Callithrix jacchus: one gene and its partners. The protein of the gene in region 3 purifies or fractionates together with the protein of the main gene of each other region. This does not show direct contact. Links are inferred from orthologs where the notes say so. Each region holds a gene or a part of one and is shown on either strand. Other genes may lie near its edges.

Region 1 (4,309 bases), on a different chromosome or scaffold from region 3:
TGGTAACTGTGACGATCTGGTTGGCAGAAGGGAGACTGAATATGATGACAATCTAAGCAGTGTAATCACAACGGGGATGGAGACAAAAGCAGACACCTCAGAAATAGACACAGATTAAATGTAGGGCGTGAGGCAAGGAGCCTGGGGTGTTCCCATTGGGAACTGAGTACTTCTATGAATAGAGAATATAGCAGGAGCAGGGTGAATGTTTGATGGGTAGGATTTGAGTTGTCTGCCCTATACACAGGCCAAAGTGTTCATTAGCTGAAAATATTGAGGGGCTTCCAGACGATCTGGCCTGGATATACATATTGAAGGGTCTTCAGCAGTTAGAGACAAGTGTAGAAGAAGTTACTGAGTGGGCAAAGAAAAGAAAGGAAGCGGGCCGGGCATGGTGGTTCACGCCTGTAACCCCAGCACTTTGGGAGGCCAAGGCGGGTAGATTACCTAAGGTTAGGAGTTCCAGACCAGCCTGACCAGCATGGTGAAACCTCGTGTCTATTAAAAATACACAAAAAAATTAGCTGAGCGTGGTGGCGGATGCCTGTAATCCCGGCTACTTGAGAGGCTGAGGCGGGAGAATCGCTTGAACCCAGGCAGCAGGGGTTGCGGTGAGCCGAGATCGCGCCATTGCTCTCCAGCCTGGGCGACAAGAGCGAGACTCCTTCTCAAAAAAAAAAAAAAAAAAAGAAAGAAAGAAAGAAAGAAAGAAAACAAAAAAGAAAAAACGGAAGGAAGAGGGCTGCGGACAGAATACCGTTGAATACTAATATTTAAAGGGCAAGCCACAAGGTGCAGGGGGAAGAGACTTCCCTGATACGGGAAGAGAGTTATCTAAAAAAGAACTTGCAAAGAACAATGTCAAGGGCTCTAAAGGTCGGAGGTTTGGACAGAGCTCGGCTTCAGCATCCACATCTCAAACACCTGGGTAATCTGGTGACTGCTGCTGAATCTGAGAGGACTGAGGCCATGCTGCCGAACTGCGGAGCGTGGGGCTGGAGGACCTTTACGGCAGTCTGGGGACTGCCTGGGTCCAACCAGACACTCTGGACCACCTCAAAGGGCGTCTTCTCTTGAGTTTGGTGCAGAAGTTAGCTGGGTGGGGGGGCCAGTGAGAGAAGAGAGACGACCCATGATTTTGATTTCAGGAAGCAGACACCGGCAGCCTTTCGGTTAGAGCTGCGGGTAGGGCGGTGGCCCTGGGGCGGGGCTGTAAACCTGGGCCTGCATTGCCGGCAGGGCAAGCTCTGCGCGAGCGGGTTTGGAGGACAGGCTCTACCTTCTTCTTCCGCCTACCTATACTGTAGCGGGATGCAGAGCGGGGAGGGGATGAGGGGGCGGGGTTAGGGGGCGGGCGGGCCGGCTCTGGCCCCGCCTATTTCCGGCCGCTCAGGCCGGTGCGGCAGGGCGGGGCCGCTGGGGCGGGGCTTGAGGGGGGGGTTGACGGGACGGGGCGGGGCCTCGGGGACCCGGGCAGCCCGCGCACTTGGCAGAAGCTTGCATCTGCCGCCGCCCGCGCCTCCAAGGTTTCACGGTTTCCTCAGCAGAGAACCGAGGTCGGCCGCCATGTCCGCCGCAGAGGAGGTTGACGGACTGGGCGTGGCCCGGCCGCACTATGGCTGTGAGTGCGGGGCTCCACGGCACGGGGGCTTCGGGGCCGGGCTAACTGCAGACGAGGCGCGGTTTTCCTGGAGGCTCGGCCGGCCGGGTGGGGCAGGGCGGCTGCCGGCAGCTCGGACCCGGAAGAGCAGCCCGGGCGGGGCAGCGGGCGGCGAGGCCTCGGGTGCGAGCCCCCGCGGGCTCCGAGGCGGCGGCGAGGACCCCCGAGGCCTCCCCGCCTTAGCTGGGGCTGCGGTAGGGGGAGCCCCACCCAGCGCTTCCCGCCAGCCAGGCTCGACCGAGATTGGGGAAGGCGGCCTAGGGTGAGGTGGCAGGAGGACCGTGCAGGGCGTGTCCTGGGGACTGGGGTTTGGGGACGCGGGCTCTGCCACGGCTCCGTGGAAAGGCATTGCCCTAGTGCTGCCTGCGGGATGGACGCAGGGAGTAGACCGAGGTCCACACCTGCCCGATCCTAGGCTAGTTGAGAGGTGCCGTCCTGGGCAAGTCACTTCGGTTTTCTTGGGCTCAGTTCCCTCCTCAAGATTTCAAAAGTAAAAAGAAAAAAAAAAGGCAAAAAATCCTCTGACTTCCTCATTTTCTGTTGCCTGCCCTGGACGTCATTGAACTGCAGGCACGATTGGCTAAAGGAGGACCCTTTGGGGTTTTGAGGTTTTCAAGTATCAACATTTCGGACATCAACAGTTATATGTGTGGTTTGTGCAGCGTTTGTGAAATTAAAGATGAGTAAGATCAGGCCCTGCCTCCAGAGAACATTTTAATCAGACGGACAGGTGTGCAAGCTAATGTTTATAAAGTGCAATAGAGATAAAAGATGCTGAACCTACTAGCCATACAGAGTAATGTAGGTAAGGTAAGGAGAGGGGCTTGGGGAAGACAGTCTGAGTATGGGAGGTGACTTTTTTTTTTTTTTTCCCGAGAGAGAGAGAGAGAGAGAGAGAGAGAGAGTCAGTCTGTCTTGCTCTGTTACCCAGGCTGGAGTGCAGTGGCACAATCTCAGCCCACTGCAACCTCCACCTCCCAGGTTCCAGCGATTCTCCTCCCTCAGCCTCCCAAATAGCTGGGACTATAGGTGTTCACGATCACACTAAGCTAATTTTTGTATTTAGTAGAGACGGGGGTTTCACCATGTTGGCCAGGATGGTCTCAAACTCCTGACCTGAAGTAATCCCCCCGCCTGGGCCTCCCAAAGTGTGAGCCACTGCCCCCAGCCAGAAGTTGACATTTGAACAGACCCTTGAACCATGCTGTGTAGAAAGTTTGTCAGGTGGCCAGGTGTGGCTCCTACATGTAATCCCAGCAATTTGGGAAGCCGAGGTAAGAGGATTGTTTGAGGCCAGGAGTTTGAGACCAGCCTGGGCAGCATAGTGAGATCCCATCTCTTAAAAAAAAAACAAAAAACCAGGGGTGGTGGCCCACGGCTGTGGTTCCAGCTGCTCAGGGCTAAGGGTAGGATCATTTGAGCCCAGGAAGTGGAGGCTGCAGTGAGCCATGATTGTGCCACTGCACTCCAGTCAGAGTGACAGAACAAGACCCTGTCTCAAGAAACAAACGTGTTAGGGCATGGTGGAACAAGAGGCAGGACATGAGAGAAGGGCATAGACGAAGGTGGTGAATAGTTGAGGGACACTGTGTGTGCTGGGAAATGAGTGGTGTGGAGTGCACCGTGGTGGGAGGAAGCGCAGAGGAGAGTTTCCAAAAATAGTGGAGACCAGACTGGGAAAGGCCTTGAATGTCTTCCCAAGGAGTTAGGAATTTATTCCATACCTGGTACCCAGGAAGGAAGCAGATAGATGCCTTCAAGGTTAAGCTCGGGCTTTGGAGACAGACTCTCCAGCGTGAATTCAGGCCCTGCATTTGTTTGCCATGGGACTGAGCTCACCCAGCCTCAGTTTCTTCATCTGTAAAATAGGAGCAATAATCACAGGATTGTTATGGGGTTTCAGTGAGAGAATGCGGGTAAAATGCTTGTTACAATTACTGCCACTTATTTCTGAATAACTGCTGGTCATTAATAAAAGAAGGAAACAACATTATCAGATCTGTGTTTAGAAGTTCTGGCAGGTAGGGACAGATTTGGGCCAAAATCTCAAGACAGTATTTTTCAAGTTTTCATTAAATTTAGTACATATTTATATTATACATTTTTTAAAAGGTCAAGATGAGTATTGTTGAAACCACATAGTTCTTTTTTTAGGAAGGTCATTGTAGTACACCTAGCTAGCCACACATTCATCGGTTACCCTGACTTTCTAGGTGAGTAGCAGGAAATTGATGCTGTGGCAATCTTTTATCACTCAGGAAGGCAACAGATCCTGGTGTTTACATTCTTTCTTTTCTGTTTTAGCTGTCCTGGATAATGAAAGACTTACTGCAGAGGAGATGGATGAAAGGAGACGTCAGAATGTGGCTTATGAGTACCTTTGTCATTTGGAAGAAGCAAAGAGGTAAAGATTGGCTGGCTGGAGAGAAGATTAAGAGAAGGGAACTGATAATAGTGTGAATACAAATAAAGATTTCTTTGAGGCTGAGCTCGGTGGTCCACGTCTGTAATCCCAACGCGTTGGGAGGCCAAGGCAGGAGGATCACTTGAACCCAGCTGTTTGAGACAGACTGGGCAACATAGTGAGACCCTGTTTCTACAAAAAAAATTTAAAAGTTAGCCAGGTGTGGTGGTGCATGCCTGTAGTCC
Region 2 (4,183 bases), on a different chromosome or scaffold from region 3:
TGAATAAGACAAAAACCTGAAAGAGTTTACATCTAGCAATGAAAATAAATATCAAATAAATAATTATAATTATAATAAATGCTACAAAGAAAATTACAGGGTACAATGAGAGCATTTATCTAGAAGATCTAAACTATTCAGTGAGGGTCAGGGAAGACTTCTCTGAGAGTGAGTTTAAGCTGACACTCAAAAGTGAGATTAGTAGGAGTAAGGCAGAATGTGCTAAGCTGGTAAAGTGATAAAAATCTTTATGGAAGTGAAAACAAACTTGGGTGATCATAGCATAAGGGATCCACGGTAAATGAGAGAATTAAGATAGGGGCCAGATCCCCATAGAATGATATATAAACCATGATGCTGACATTGATCTTTATTCTAAGTCAACAAAATTGATTTTCAAGGAAGGAGTTCCATGATCTGATTTGGGATTTTAGAACATCATTTTAGTTGCTATATGGAGACTGGAGGGCAAAAGAAAATGTAAGAAAGATAGGAGGTTATTGTCAAAAGAGAGATGATCATGGCTTGGACTAAGGTAGGAATATAGTTAGGTGAATAGTTTTCAAAGATACTCAGGAGGTAGAATCAACAGAACTCTCTTTGGATTTGGGACATATGGAGGCAGCAATTAAAAACCAGGCTAAAATTTTCTGAAAAATTGGCTGTGAAACGGAGTAGCGGAAAAACGGTGGTAGCTGAAAGAGAATGTGATTTCTAAAGAAGCTTTTCTTTTGAGGGTCTCGCTCTGTCACTTAAGCTGGAGTTCAGTGGGGCGATCACCACTCAGTGCAGCTTCAAACCCTGGGCTCAAGTGATCTGTTTGCCTCAGCCTCCGGAGTACCTCCTGGCCGCACATCACCTAAGGCTAATTCTTTTTTGGGGTAGAAACGGGATCCTCCCTTCCAAGCTGGTTTAGAACTCCTGGGCTCAAAGAATCGTCCTGCCTTGGACTCCCAAAGTGCTACATGAGACCTTACTAATTTTTTTAAATTCTGATGTAGAAGGGGCTTGCTGCTCAGCTCATCACACCATCCCCTCAAATTTCATCTACAAGAAAAGGTTTTAAGATAATGGACCCTGAAAAACTAATGACATTTATAAACCCTCTCCGCAAGAATGCCTTGTAACACATAGCCTTGCTTGCATTTCCTGGGGTTCTTAGAGTCCAGCGATCTCGTACAAATTCCCTACCCCACAGCTGACGTCCTTCGGCCTGTGACACAAGGCGCAGGCTCAAGACGCGGTCCGCGGTGGGCGGGGGAGGGGCGAGGCCCGTCGGGCCCAGCACGCTCGCAGCTTCCGCCCGGCTCCTCCGGAAATCCCGTATTACGGGGCGACTGCGTAGCTAGTGCTTCCTGGGGCACAGAAGAGGTCACGAATCATGTGACAGTGGCTTGAGGAGGAACCGGTCTTTAAAGCGTCCCTGAAGTGACAGTGGAGAGAACCAGGCAGCGTAGAAACCCCAGGTAACTGGCGCTGCTTTGCCCGGTTTTGAGGTCTAGTCCCGGGAGTGGCGCGGGTGGTGATTCTAAACAGAAGGGGAGGACCCTCTCTTCTTTTCTTTGGGCCTAGCTCTTTCTGGTGAAGGGGCAGGGATGGGGTGGGGTGAGGTAAGGCGTGCCGGCTGAGTACCCGTGGCGGAGTTGGGGCACTCCGACTCCCACTGAACTCGATGGGCCAAGCCGGAGTTTTGCCTGGTTCTGTCCAGGCCTGATCTCTCTCATTAAGTTGGGGGTAGAGAGGACGAGGAAGCCAAGAGGGAAGAGTCACCGGGAGTTTCTCTTCCAGGCGTGGAGATTGATCCTGCGAGAGAAGGGGGTTCATCATGGCGGATGTGAGTGACACCCCCACATAAGAGGAAGGGGAGGGTGGGGAATTTGGAGGGGAATACTGAGCGGGGAGAGGTAGAGCTTCCCAAGTAGAAATTTGTTTTGATTCTCCCATCCCCACCCACCCCAGTTTTTCTCTGGTAACTGGAGTGGGAGACTAATATGAATGAATTTGCAGGATCCTGAGTTTCTGCCTCGAATGTGGGTGGAGGACATTAAGGTGCTTGAGACAGAAAATTCTATTCTCCCTACTCCCCAGTCCAGTTGGGGCATAAGAGAGGCTCTGTATATTTACCGTTTGAAATTCTGAATGGTGGTTTGCTGCCTGTCTCATCAGTATGTGGTCAGTGGGACATGTACCCAGAATCCTTTTTTTCCCGTAAGTGGTAACAATATCTCATTAGGTTTATTGCAGCAATTTAGGATGTGATTTCTAACCCATGCCTCTTTAGAAACATGGTGAGTTCTCTCTCTCTTTCTCTCTCTCTCTCTCTCTCTCTCTCTCTCTCTCTCTCTCTCTCTCTCTCTCTCTCTGTGTGTGTGTGTGTGTGTGTGTGTGTGTGTGTGTGTGTGATGAATGAAAGCTAAAGTAAGCTGATAGTCATAACATGAAATAGAATGATCATTTGGGTTTGGAGAATATTAAGTGTTGGAGGCACAAAACAACGGACTTCTAATTAATCCATGTGAGGTCAAAATTGATACCTAAATTGCCAATGAAATTCCTGGGATGAGAGTGTAACAAGACAATATAAAATAGTCTTATGGCCAGTGCTGTGGCTTAGTCTGTAATCGCAGCACTTTGGGAGGCCGAGGTGGAAGGATTGCTTGAGGCTGCGAGTTCAAGACCTGCCTGGGCAACATAGCAAGACCCCATTCTACAAAAATAAAATTTAAAATTAGCCAGGCGCATTGATGCCCCTATAGTCCCAGCTATGCCGGAAGTGAAGTGGGAGGATTGCTTGAGCCCAGAAGTTGGAAGTTGCAGTGAGCACCAGCTTAGAAAAATAAAGTAGTCTTCTATTTCTTTAGTCTTAACTGTGTTTCGTGTTAAACACTTGACACACATTGCCATTTATCTTATATTCTGTAAGACTGGGTCAGGCATGGTGACTTACGCCTGTAATACCAGCACTTTGGGCAGATCACCTGAGGTCAGGAGTTCGAGACCAGCCTGGCCAACATGGTAAAACCCCGTCTCTACTAAAAATACAAAAACTTAGCTGGGTGTGATGGTGGGCACCTGTAATCTCAGTTACTCGGGAGGCTGAGGCAGGAAAATCGCTTGAACCCAGGAGGTGGAGGTAGCAGTGAGCCGAGACTGTGCCATTGCACTCCAGGCTAGACAACAAAAGCAAAACTCCGGCCGGGTGCGGTGGCTCAAGCCTGTAATCCCAGCACTTTGGGAGGCCGAGGCGGGTGGGTCACGAGGTCAAGAGATCGAGACCATCCTGGTCAACATGGTGAAACCCCGTCTCTACTAAAAATACAAAAATTAGCTGGGCATGGTGGCGCGTGCCTGTAACCCCAGCTACTCAGGAGGCTGAGGCAGGAGAATTGCCTGAACCCAGGAGGCGGAGGTTGCGGTGAGCTGAGACTGCGCCATTGCGCTCCAGCCTGGGTAACGAGCGAAACTCCGTCTCAAAAAAAAAAGATAAAAAGGAAAACTCCGTTGCCTCCCCCTCAAAAAGACTGTTGCCTCACATAGTCATATAGAATTTATTTTAGGTCCTTAAACAGAATATTTTAAAAGTCACATTATAATAATATGCCTTACACTTTCATTATTTGTTGAGTAGGTGAGTTCAACAAATAATGCAACAATGGAAGGCTTTTTTTCCATAGATTTCATCATATTGGCGAGGCTGGTCAAATTTGGATAGGACAGGGTCTAGAAAACAGTGTAAGGCATATTATTACAATGTGCTTTTTAATATTCTCTTTCAGGATTTTTTTTCTTTTTCTTTTTCTTTTTTTTTTTTTTTTTGAGATGGAGTCTTGCTCTGTCCCCCAGGCTGGAGTGCAGTGGCACATTCTCGGCTCACTGCAACCTCTGCCTCCTGGGTTCAAGCCATTCTCCTGCCTCAGCTTCCCAAGTAGCTGGGATTACAGGTATGTGCCACCATATCTGGCTAATTTTTGTATTTTTAGTAGAGACCAGGTTTCATTATATTGGCCAGGCTGGTCTCAAACTCCTGACCTCAGGTGATCCACTCGCCTTGGCCTCTCAAAGTGCTGGGATTACAGGCGTGAGTCGCCAAGCCCTGCCAGAAGGCCTGTTTTTATAATGTAATAGTTATGTAAGGCAACAGTCTTACAGAAGTCATATCAACTTACCCAAAACCATTAAAATG
Region 3 (4,146 bases):
AACCTCCCAGTCCCATCCAAATTTTTCTGTCACCAAATATGGAGTAGTTTCTTCTCGTCCTGCTTTTACTATTTTAGTGAAACCCCTCCCCCTTGAGAGAATAGTTGTGGTTTCACAATTACAACAGAGTAACAGGTACTTCTTCTTAGTATTCACGTCCAATTCAAATAGGAAAGGATGATCAGGCCACGACATTCAGCCAGAATCCACTGTGGTCAGAATCTGTCCTAACAACAGTCAGGGCTTTCAGTCTGTTTTAAGAAGGTGAAACACTGTACACTAAAACTGAACAAACGTTTGCACTGCAGCAAACATTATGGCTCACGCCTGTAATCCCAGCACTTTGGGAGGCCGAGGCAGGCAGATCACCTGAGGTCAGGTGTTCAAGACCACCCTGGCCGGGCACAGTGGCTCAAGCCTGTAATCCCAGCACTTTGGAAGGCCAAGGCAGGTGGATCACAAGGTGAAGAGATCAAGACCATCCTGGTCAACATGGTGAAATCCCGTCTCTACTAAAAATACAAAAAATTAGCTGGGCATGGTGGCGCGTGCCTGTAATCCCAGCTACTCAGGAGGCTGAGGCAGGAGAATTGCCTGAACCCAGGAGGCGGAGGTTGCGGTGAGCCGAGATCGCGCCATTGCACTCCAGCCTGGGTTACAAGAGCGAAACTCCGTCTCAAAAAAAAAACACCCTGACCAACACGAAGAAGCCCCTCTCTACTAAAAATACAAAATTAGGCGTGGTGGCACATGCCTGTAATCCCAGCTACTCAGGAGGCTGAGGCAGGACAATCACTTGAACCCAGGAGGCAGAGGTTGCAGTGAGCCGAGATCGCACCATTCCACTCCAGCCTGGGCAACAAGAGTGAAACCCTGTCTCAAAAAAAAAAAAAAAAAAATGTTTGCAATGCAACCCAACCACCTATACAAGTCAGTAACATGCAAAACAGATACCACACGACTGCGAGGGGCCTAAAGAGGAGAGTCTGCTGGGAGTAGGTCTCAAGAACTTAGCTGAACACATACCACACACAGGTCCACCACTGACCGTGTGATCACTACAGGCATGGAACAAGTCACCAAGCCAACAGGTCCCCAGGTTATTAAAATATAGGGAAAGTTGGCTGGGTAATCCCAGCACTTTGGGAGGATCGCTAGAGCCCAGGAGTTCAAGACCAGCCTAAGCAATATACCAAGACCCCATCTCTATAAAATTTTTAAAAATAAAATTTTTTTTAAATCTAGAGAAAGAAAGGGAGGTTACAGAAATCACCAAAGAGCAGAAAGTCCAAGCCTACTCTGATTTCATCAATTAGCTTCCTAAAGTCTGCAGGATGCAGGTAAAAGATTAAAAACAAAATCTTTACTGAAGATTGGACAAACCACCACCAAAAAAAAGGCAAAAAATAAAAATAAACTGATCTTTTCTGGCCATTTCTCTAGCTAGCTAAGCAGCTTTCCCTCACATAGTCTTGTCCCTTACCTAGAACCCAAAAGAGTTGTGGTAGCTCAGAAACCCCCAGTAAACAGCCTCATGATTATTTAATGAAATAAAGTGTTCATTTGTGAGCAACGCTAGAAGCTGCAGAGATGGAACACCTAGTATACGGTTTACAGGTCATGGTGTTCATGTCTCAGGTCAGGAGTTTAGGAGCTCCTGGCCAAGTACGGAAAGCTAATCATTAGTGAGGAAATGGTTTGTTGAATAAATGAATGAATGAATAGCCAGATAAGGAACGATGCTTTCTTGAGCAAGACAGTTCCCAGGAAGGCCAAGGACCGGGAACTCCCAAAGTCAGCAAGGAAAAGCCACGAAGTCCACACGGACTTCCAGCACGCCCCCGCTGGCCAGGCAGCTGGCCTGCAACAAGGCATTTAGGCCCCACAGGTGTCAGGCATGAAGGTGAGGCTAATGCTCCACACTTCATAAACTGAGCCGGTCTCAAAGCACAGATGCGATCTTAATTCTTTCCAAAACATTAGCCTCCTCTCCCCGTTACAGCCCAGACTCCCAGAGGATCACATTTAGAACACAGCTGGGGAGAGGCAGGAGAGATGTGCCAGCTTTTATTTTCTTGGGAGGAGACCGGTCAATGGCCAGGGACCACTGAAACTGTCGGGAAACGGGTGAAGAGGGAAATCGAGACCCGCGAAATCCGCGAACTGGTCTGAGTCAGGAGCACAATCAGTGCTTAGTCACTGATACCCCGGCGGCCGGGAGTTCCTCGCCCCCTGCCAGCCCCAGACGTACGTGACAAACCGGAGAGGAGCCTGGCGCGCGCTCCTGAGCCCCGGCCCGGGCCTCCCCAGCCGGGCCCCGACGTTCGCCACCCGCTCCATACTTACTCTGCAGAGCTGGTCCCGTTAACCGCCGAGCCGTCGGGGGCCGGGTTCAGCTGGATGGGCGTCGGCTTCTTCTTGGGCATTTTGGACCCGGCTAAGGCGCTTTCAACTCCGGGGGGAGGGCAGCACCTCTCGCTTCCTCCCGCTGAGCTGCCCCGAGCCCGCTGCGCAGGTCCAAGTCCGGGCCGCGGGCCGCGGGGATGCCTTCGGCGGGTGCGCCCCGCGCGGTCCCGTCAGCTCCGAGGGGGCCGGTGGCGGTCTCAGGGGACCCCCGCCCCACCCGCCCGGGACTCGGCTCCGCGCGCAGCGAGCCGAAGGGCTGCCCGCAGGAGTGGAGCGAACTGAAAGTGCGGTTCGGCAGCCCGGGATTCCCTCCCTCTCTCCCTCAACCAACCAGTCTCTCCAGCTCAGGCGGCCCCGTCGCGCGCGCACCAGAGCCCAGCTCCAGCTCCTGTCGAGGAAACTGCCGCCGCCGCGCTCCTAGCCGCTAAGCGCATCGGCCCTGGGAGGGACTGGAGGTCGGGGGAGGGGCGGGGAAGGGGAAGCCTCGCCCCCCACCCGAGCTGCGGCGCTTTCCACACACCCACTCACTCCGCCCCTATTGCCTCGCCAACAACCAATGGGAGCAAGCCTCGGCGGCAGATGACGCGGAAATACGTCATGGGAGCGCGGCGCGCTGCCCTGGGGGCGGGGTCTGTCGCGGGCTCGACGGCGCCCTCTGCCGCCCGGAGACACGCAGGCTGACCCCTCCGAAAAGAGGTTCGTATCGGCTGCCGGTTGAGCTCCTCTAGGCCAAGTGCTGCGCGGCCTCCTCGTCTGCGGTAACTAGCCTGTCCCCAACCTTCGTCCCAAAGCCGAGTCCTGTTGACAGAAATGAAATAACAAAATAAATAAGGAAAAGGACCCCTTCCTGTGTCCAGAGGAGAGGCGGCGTGGTAAATAGGAAACTTGTCCAGAGACTCCTTGAGCCCAACGAACTGTCATTTATGTATTTTATTTGTTTAATAATACTCCTGAGAAGGGTGCGGGGAAATGGATACTCAGTGCTGATGAGACTGTAAATTGTTGCAACGGTTTTTGAGAGCAGATTGATTTTTTTTTTTTTTTTTTTTTGACGGGGTTTCACTATGTTGGTAACATTTTTTTTAAAGCCTTAAAAACACCCTTTACCAGTCCAGGAGTGGTGGCTCACGTCTGTAATCCCAGTGTTGCCTGAGCAGGGAGACTCCCCCCCCCACCCCTCCCCGGTCTCTACTGGCTGGGCGTGACTGAGTGCACCTGTAGTCTGAGCTACTGAGGAGACTGAGGCTGGAGGATCACTTGAGCCCAGGAGTTTGAGTCTGCAATGAGTTAGGATCACACCACTGCACACCAGCTTCAGAGCGAGACTCTTTAAAAACTTTCATCCAGGCTGGTCCGAGTGCCGTGGTGTTTACAACTAATTGATCACAACCAGTTACAGATTTCTTTTTTTTTTTTGAGACGCAGTTTCGCTGTTGTTACCCAAACTGGAGTGCAATGGCACGATCTCGGCTCACCGCAACCTCCGCCTCCTGGGTTCAAGCAATTCTCCTGCCTCAGCCTCCCGAGTAGCTGGGACTACAGGCACGCACCACTATGCCCAGCTAATTTTTTTGTATTTTTAGTAGAGACAGGGTTTCGCCCTGTTGACCAGGATGGTCTCGATCTCTTGACCTCGTGATCCACCCGCCTTGGCCTCCCAAAGTGCTGGGATTATAGGTGTGAGCCACCGCGCCCAGCCAGTTACAGATTTTTTTGTTCCTTCTCCACTCCCACTGCTTC
Region 4 (3,561 bases), on a different chromosome or scaffold from region 3:
AGAACAGTTAATTTTTAGTTAACTTATATTTTACCTGCACAGTAATAAGAGTGGTGACTGTAAATGTAGGTAGCACTTTATTGTATTCCAATTTAAAAAACAAAATTAAGTCTGTACTTTAAAAAACTTTTACAATAGCAAGATATTTAATGAACTCTAGTTCATATCTAGTTTTTTTTTTTTCTGGTTTGAAAAGATCACCTTTCCCTGAATATTAAACAAAAATAATTGTAAAAATGAAAATACAGAACCATAATTTCCAAAAACGAAATGAATGGGCCAACAGTAAAATGCACAATGAGCCACAATTGTCCAAGTATTTAAAAATAAAGGCCAACTATGAGTCATAAAGAAGTTATCAACTTTTAAAAATATATGTATGTACTGCTACTCATAGCATACGCTGACCTAAAAGAGGCAGATACTGATTTTACAGCCAGTGACAAAAAATTTGAACGGAATTGCAGAACCCCCTGCTTGTGATCACTATATGAAATGGAAGAATAATTGAAATATTAAAATAGATCCTGAGCCCCTCAGCTGCTAATATTGCTGAAAAAGTGCTCCAAAAAAATAAAATTATGCTTCTGCCATTTAGTCATGCAAACTTGTTTTCCTGTTCACGTAGGGCCAGTTCTTTGAAAGGCACGGTTTACAGTTTCTGCACTAGTTGCGGGCTTTTGCATACTGAGCTTAGGTACAGATCATGATTTGTCAATCACATACTTAGGTAAGGGTTCCCCACTGGCCCTGTTCATAGCTGTTCAGTGGCATCATGGCCAGTAGAATATCGATGTGGTACCCCACAAGTTTTTTTTCTCTTGTTGAGCATCCTGTTTCTACTGTAGGTGATTTGTGTAATTGGCTACCATGTAGTACGAAAGACTGGATGCTTCAGTAGCTCTCTTGATGGAGGTCTGTCCTGAGGTTGAAGTTCTAAACAACGAAGAGCCACATCTCGTAAACCGGGAGACAGATGTGATGGGATCGATGGAGCAGTAGTTGCACTAGCAATCTGTGGAGAAAGAGCCAGAGTGTTAAAGCTTTGCACAACTGGAACTTCTGATACAGAAACACATGTGCATATACCTCATCATCCTTATATTCATATCCTGAACAGAGAGGAACTGAAGCAGAAGTGGGAGGACTTTCTGTTATCAATGTTCAGGTAGAGAAAGTATTCACTCCTATGAATTCTGTTTTCATATTCGGCCACAAAGATGGTTTGTTCTTATTGCACATTTTCTATTTCTTCAGCATAGACAGCTATTTAGATTAAGAAAGACTAAACCTGAATAGCCAATTTAGTACACAGAAAACACAACTGCATTGATTTTTTTCCTTCAATGTTGGACAAATTCTTAGTATCAAATGCATTATGAAGAATGACTTTTCAATAAATTTTACGTCTGAATACTTTAAACCCACCTACCCACTCCTAATCACAAGAAAACTCTTTCCTTTCCCTACCCCAATAATTTCATAAATGCTTTGGGTTAAAAAATGCAAAGTAATATAAAGAAAAATCCTATAAGGTCTGTGATGCTATATGAAGATATACTCAGCTGATACATACACATCTTAGACACCACAAAAAGGGAAAATACAAAACAAAAAATGAAATCCCTTTTCCTTTTCCCCAAATGTAACCACTTACTTCTGACGATTTGTGTTTTTGGTTTTTTTGTGTATGTGGAGAAAAAAAGGCCAATATATCTCACAGACTTTAGATTTTCTAAAATGTCTACAAAAGAGAAAACTTAATTTCGAGACAGGTTCTCTCTCACTGTCACCCAAGGTGAAGTGCAGTGGTGTGAACATGGCTCATTGCAGCTTTGACCTCCTGGGCTCAAACGATCCTTCCACCTCATAGCCTCCTGAGTACCTGGGAGCACAGGCAGGTGCTACTATGCTCAGCTAATTTTTTTTCTTTTTTTGTAGAGACAGGGTCTTGCTATGCCCAGGCTGGTCTCCAACTCCTGGGCTCAAGTTATGTTCTCACTTCAGCCCCCCAAAGTGCTGAGATCACAGGCATGAGCCACTGTGCCTGGCCAGGATCACTTTATGTATCTTGCTCTTTTCACTTATTAATGTATCTTGTAGCACTTTCTAAACACCAACAGCTTTATACTAAATTTATTTAATTTCTATATAGTTTTACATTGTGTGGATAATTTAATTACTTTCTTGAGTAGAGTGAATAATCCTGAACTTGGCACTTGGTACTTCTAGAGGTAATCTAGAGTAAATCCCTAACAATGGGCATAGCTGAGTCAAAGAATAAGTGCATTTAAATTCTGGCACTTATTTTTTTTGGGATTTTGCCAAAATCCAAATTTGGATTTGGATATTGCCAAATCGTTCTCTTAAAAAAATGTGCTACAGCAATTTTTACTACCATAAACAGGTATGTAAGTGTTTGAGAAAGCCGTTTTTCTGTCTCTTTGGGGTGCTTCCAAAGACCTCAAAGTATTTACTCCAAGTTAAGAAAACGGAAAATATTATAGTACAATTCTCTTTAAACTCTATCTATGAAGGAGAATGCAATGAAATCTGTTAAAATATGAATGGTGCCAATTTTAAAATCATTTCCATTTGTTTCCAGGGGCTCACCAAAACTCTGAAAATGACATCAAACTTTCAAATTGATCCTAGTTATGAGTATTTATCGAGCAACTTCTATTTAAGACTCTGGAAGGAAAAAAATGAAGCAGATGTGAATGGACCTCAAGGAGACTTAATTTGAAAAAGGAAGCAATATAGGAACTTAACTAGGATACAAGAAACAAAGTGTCAGAAACAAGTATGTACTAAAATGCTACAGAATCTGTGGAAGCAGTAAGAAGGGGGTGCCCAAGCAGGAGGAGCAGAGATATGGGCCTTAAAGCGATTAAGAATTTGATCCATGTGGAAAAGGGACATGGGAAGTCCGAAAGAATAGAGGAAATGAGGTAATAATACAAAACAGGTATTGTCAGAGAGGTGACTTAGGAGGTTATAGTAAGTGTGGGGAGGACTGGAGGAGGTGATGACAGGTGGAGTTGACTGTGTAGGTTGAGTGACTAAGGCCTAGGCATAATTTTGTTTATCTTCATGGTAATCCTATGAAGTATGTGCTTCATAGGATTCTTGCAGCAGTTTTACATATGAGAAAATGGAGGGTAGACACAAAAAATAATTTCCCTATGATCACAAGGCCATTAAGGGTTTAAAACTATGTCAGGGTGACTCCAAAGCCCATTATTTCAACTATCTCATGTCTACTGAAAAGTCTACTAAAAATGTCAACCATTACCTATTCTATGGTGGAAAAGCAGAGAGTGGATCTGTGAGTTATGAAAAGGTAGGTAGAACAGGATTTAGTAACTGAACTGACTTGGGTGTGAATTAGGCCAGGTGCAGTGGCTCATGCCTGTAATCCCAATACTTTGGGAGGCTGAGGTGGGCAGATCACTTGAGGTCAGGAGTTCAAGATCAGCCTGGCCAATGTGGTGAAACTCCATCTCTACTATAAATACAAAAATTAGCTGGGCGTGGTGGTGTGTGCCTGTAGTCCCAGCT

Evidence for each region.
Region 1: the proteins of MAP2K1 (region 3) and IQGAP1 purify together in Homo sapiens (affinity purification with western blotting; 3 studies listed by BioGRID, with this or other methods). This does not show direct contact. The link is inferred for Callithrix jacchus from reciprocal best matches to the Homo sapiens genes MAP2K1 and IQGAP1.
Region 2: the proteins of MAP2K1 (region 3) and LAMTOR3 purify together in Homo sapiens (affinity purification with western blotting; 3 studies listed by BioGRID, with this or other methods). This does not show direct contact. The link is inferred for Callithrix jacchus from reciprocal best matches to the Homo sapiens genes MAP2K1 and LAMTOR3.
Region 4: the proteins of MAP2K1 (region 3) and MAP3K1 purify together in Homo sapiens (affinity purification with western blotting; 3 studies listed by BioGRID and IntAct, with this or other methods). This does not show direct contact. The link is inferred for Callithrix jacchus from reciprocal best matches to the Homo sapiens genes MAP2K1 and MAP3K1.

What each region holds. Positions count from the first base shown.
Region 1 is NC_133507.1:20,015,289-20,019,597, reverse strand, and holds the start of IQGAP1 (ras GTPase-activating-like protein IQGAP1), read left to right. Parts: upstream 1-1,465; 5' UTR 1,466-1,566; coding exon 1,567-1,621; intron 1,622-3,964; coding exon 3,965-4,064; intron 4,065-4,309. UniProt on the Homo sapiens protein: Plays a crucial role in regulating the dynamics and assembly of the actin cytoskeleton.
Region 2 is NC_133504.1:97,478,793-97,482,975, forward strand, and holds the start of LAMTOR3 (ragulator complex protein LAMTOR3), read left to right. Parts: upstream 1-1,381; 5' UTR 1,382-1,466; intron 1,467-1,788; 5' UTR 1,789-1,825; coding exon 1,826-1,834; intron 1,835-4,183. UniProt on the Homo sapiens protein: As part of the Ragulator complex it is involved in amino acid sensing and activation of mTORC1, a signaling complex promoting cell growth in response to growth factors, energy levels, and amino acids.
Region 3 is NC_133509.1:13,421,079-13,425,224, reverse strand, and holds the start of MAP2K1 (dual specificity mitogen-activated protein kinase kinase 1), read right to left. Parts: upstream 2,858-4,146; 5' UTR 2,427-2,857; coding exon 2,347-2,426; intron 1-2,346. UniProt on the Homo sapiens protein: Dual specificity protein kinase which acts as an essential component of the MAP kinase signal transduction pathway.
Region 4 is NC_133503.1:152,985,547-152,989,107, forward strand, and holds part of MAP3K1 (mitogen-activated protein kinase kinase kinase 1), read right to left. Parts: intron 2,804-3,561; exon of another isoform or gene 2,606-2,803; intron 1,016-2,605; coding exon 866-1,015; 3' UTR 1-865. UniProt on the Homo sapiens protein: Component of a protein kinase signal transduction cascade. Activates the ERK and JNK kinase pathways by phosphorylation of MAP2K1 and MAP2K4. May phosphorylate the MAPK8/JNK1 kinase.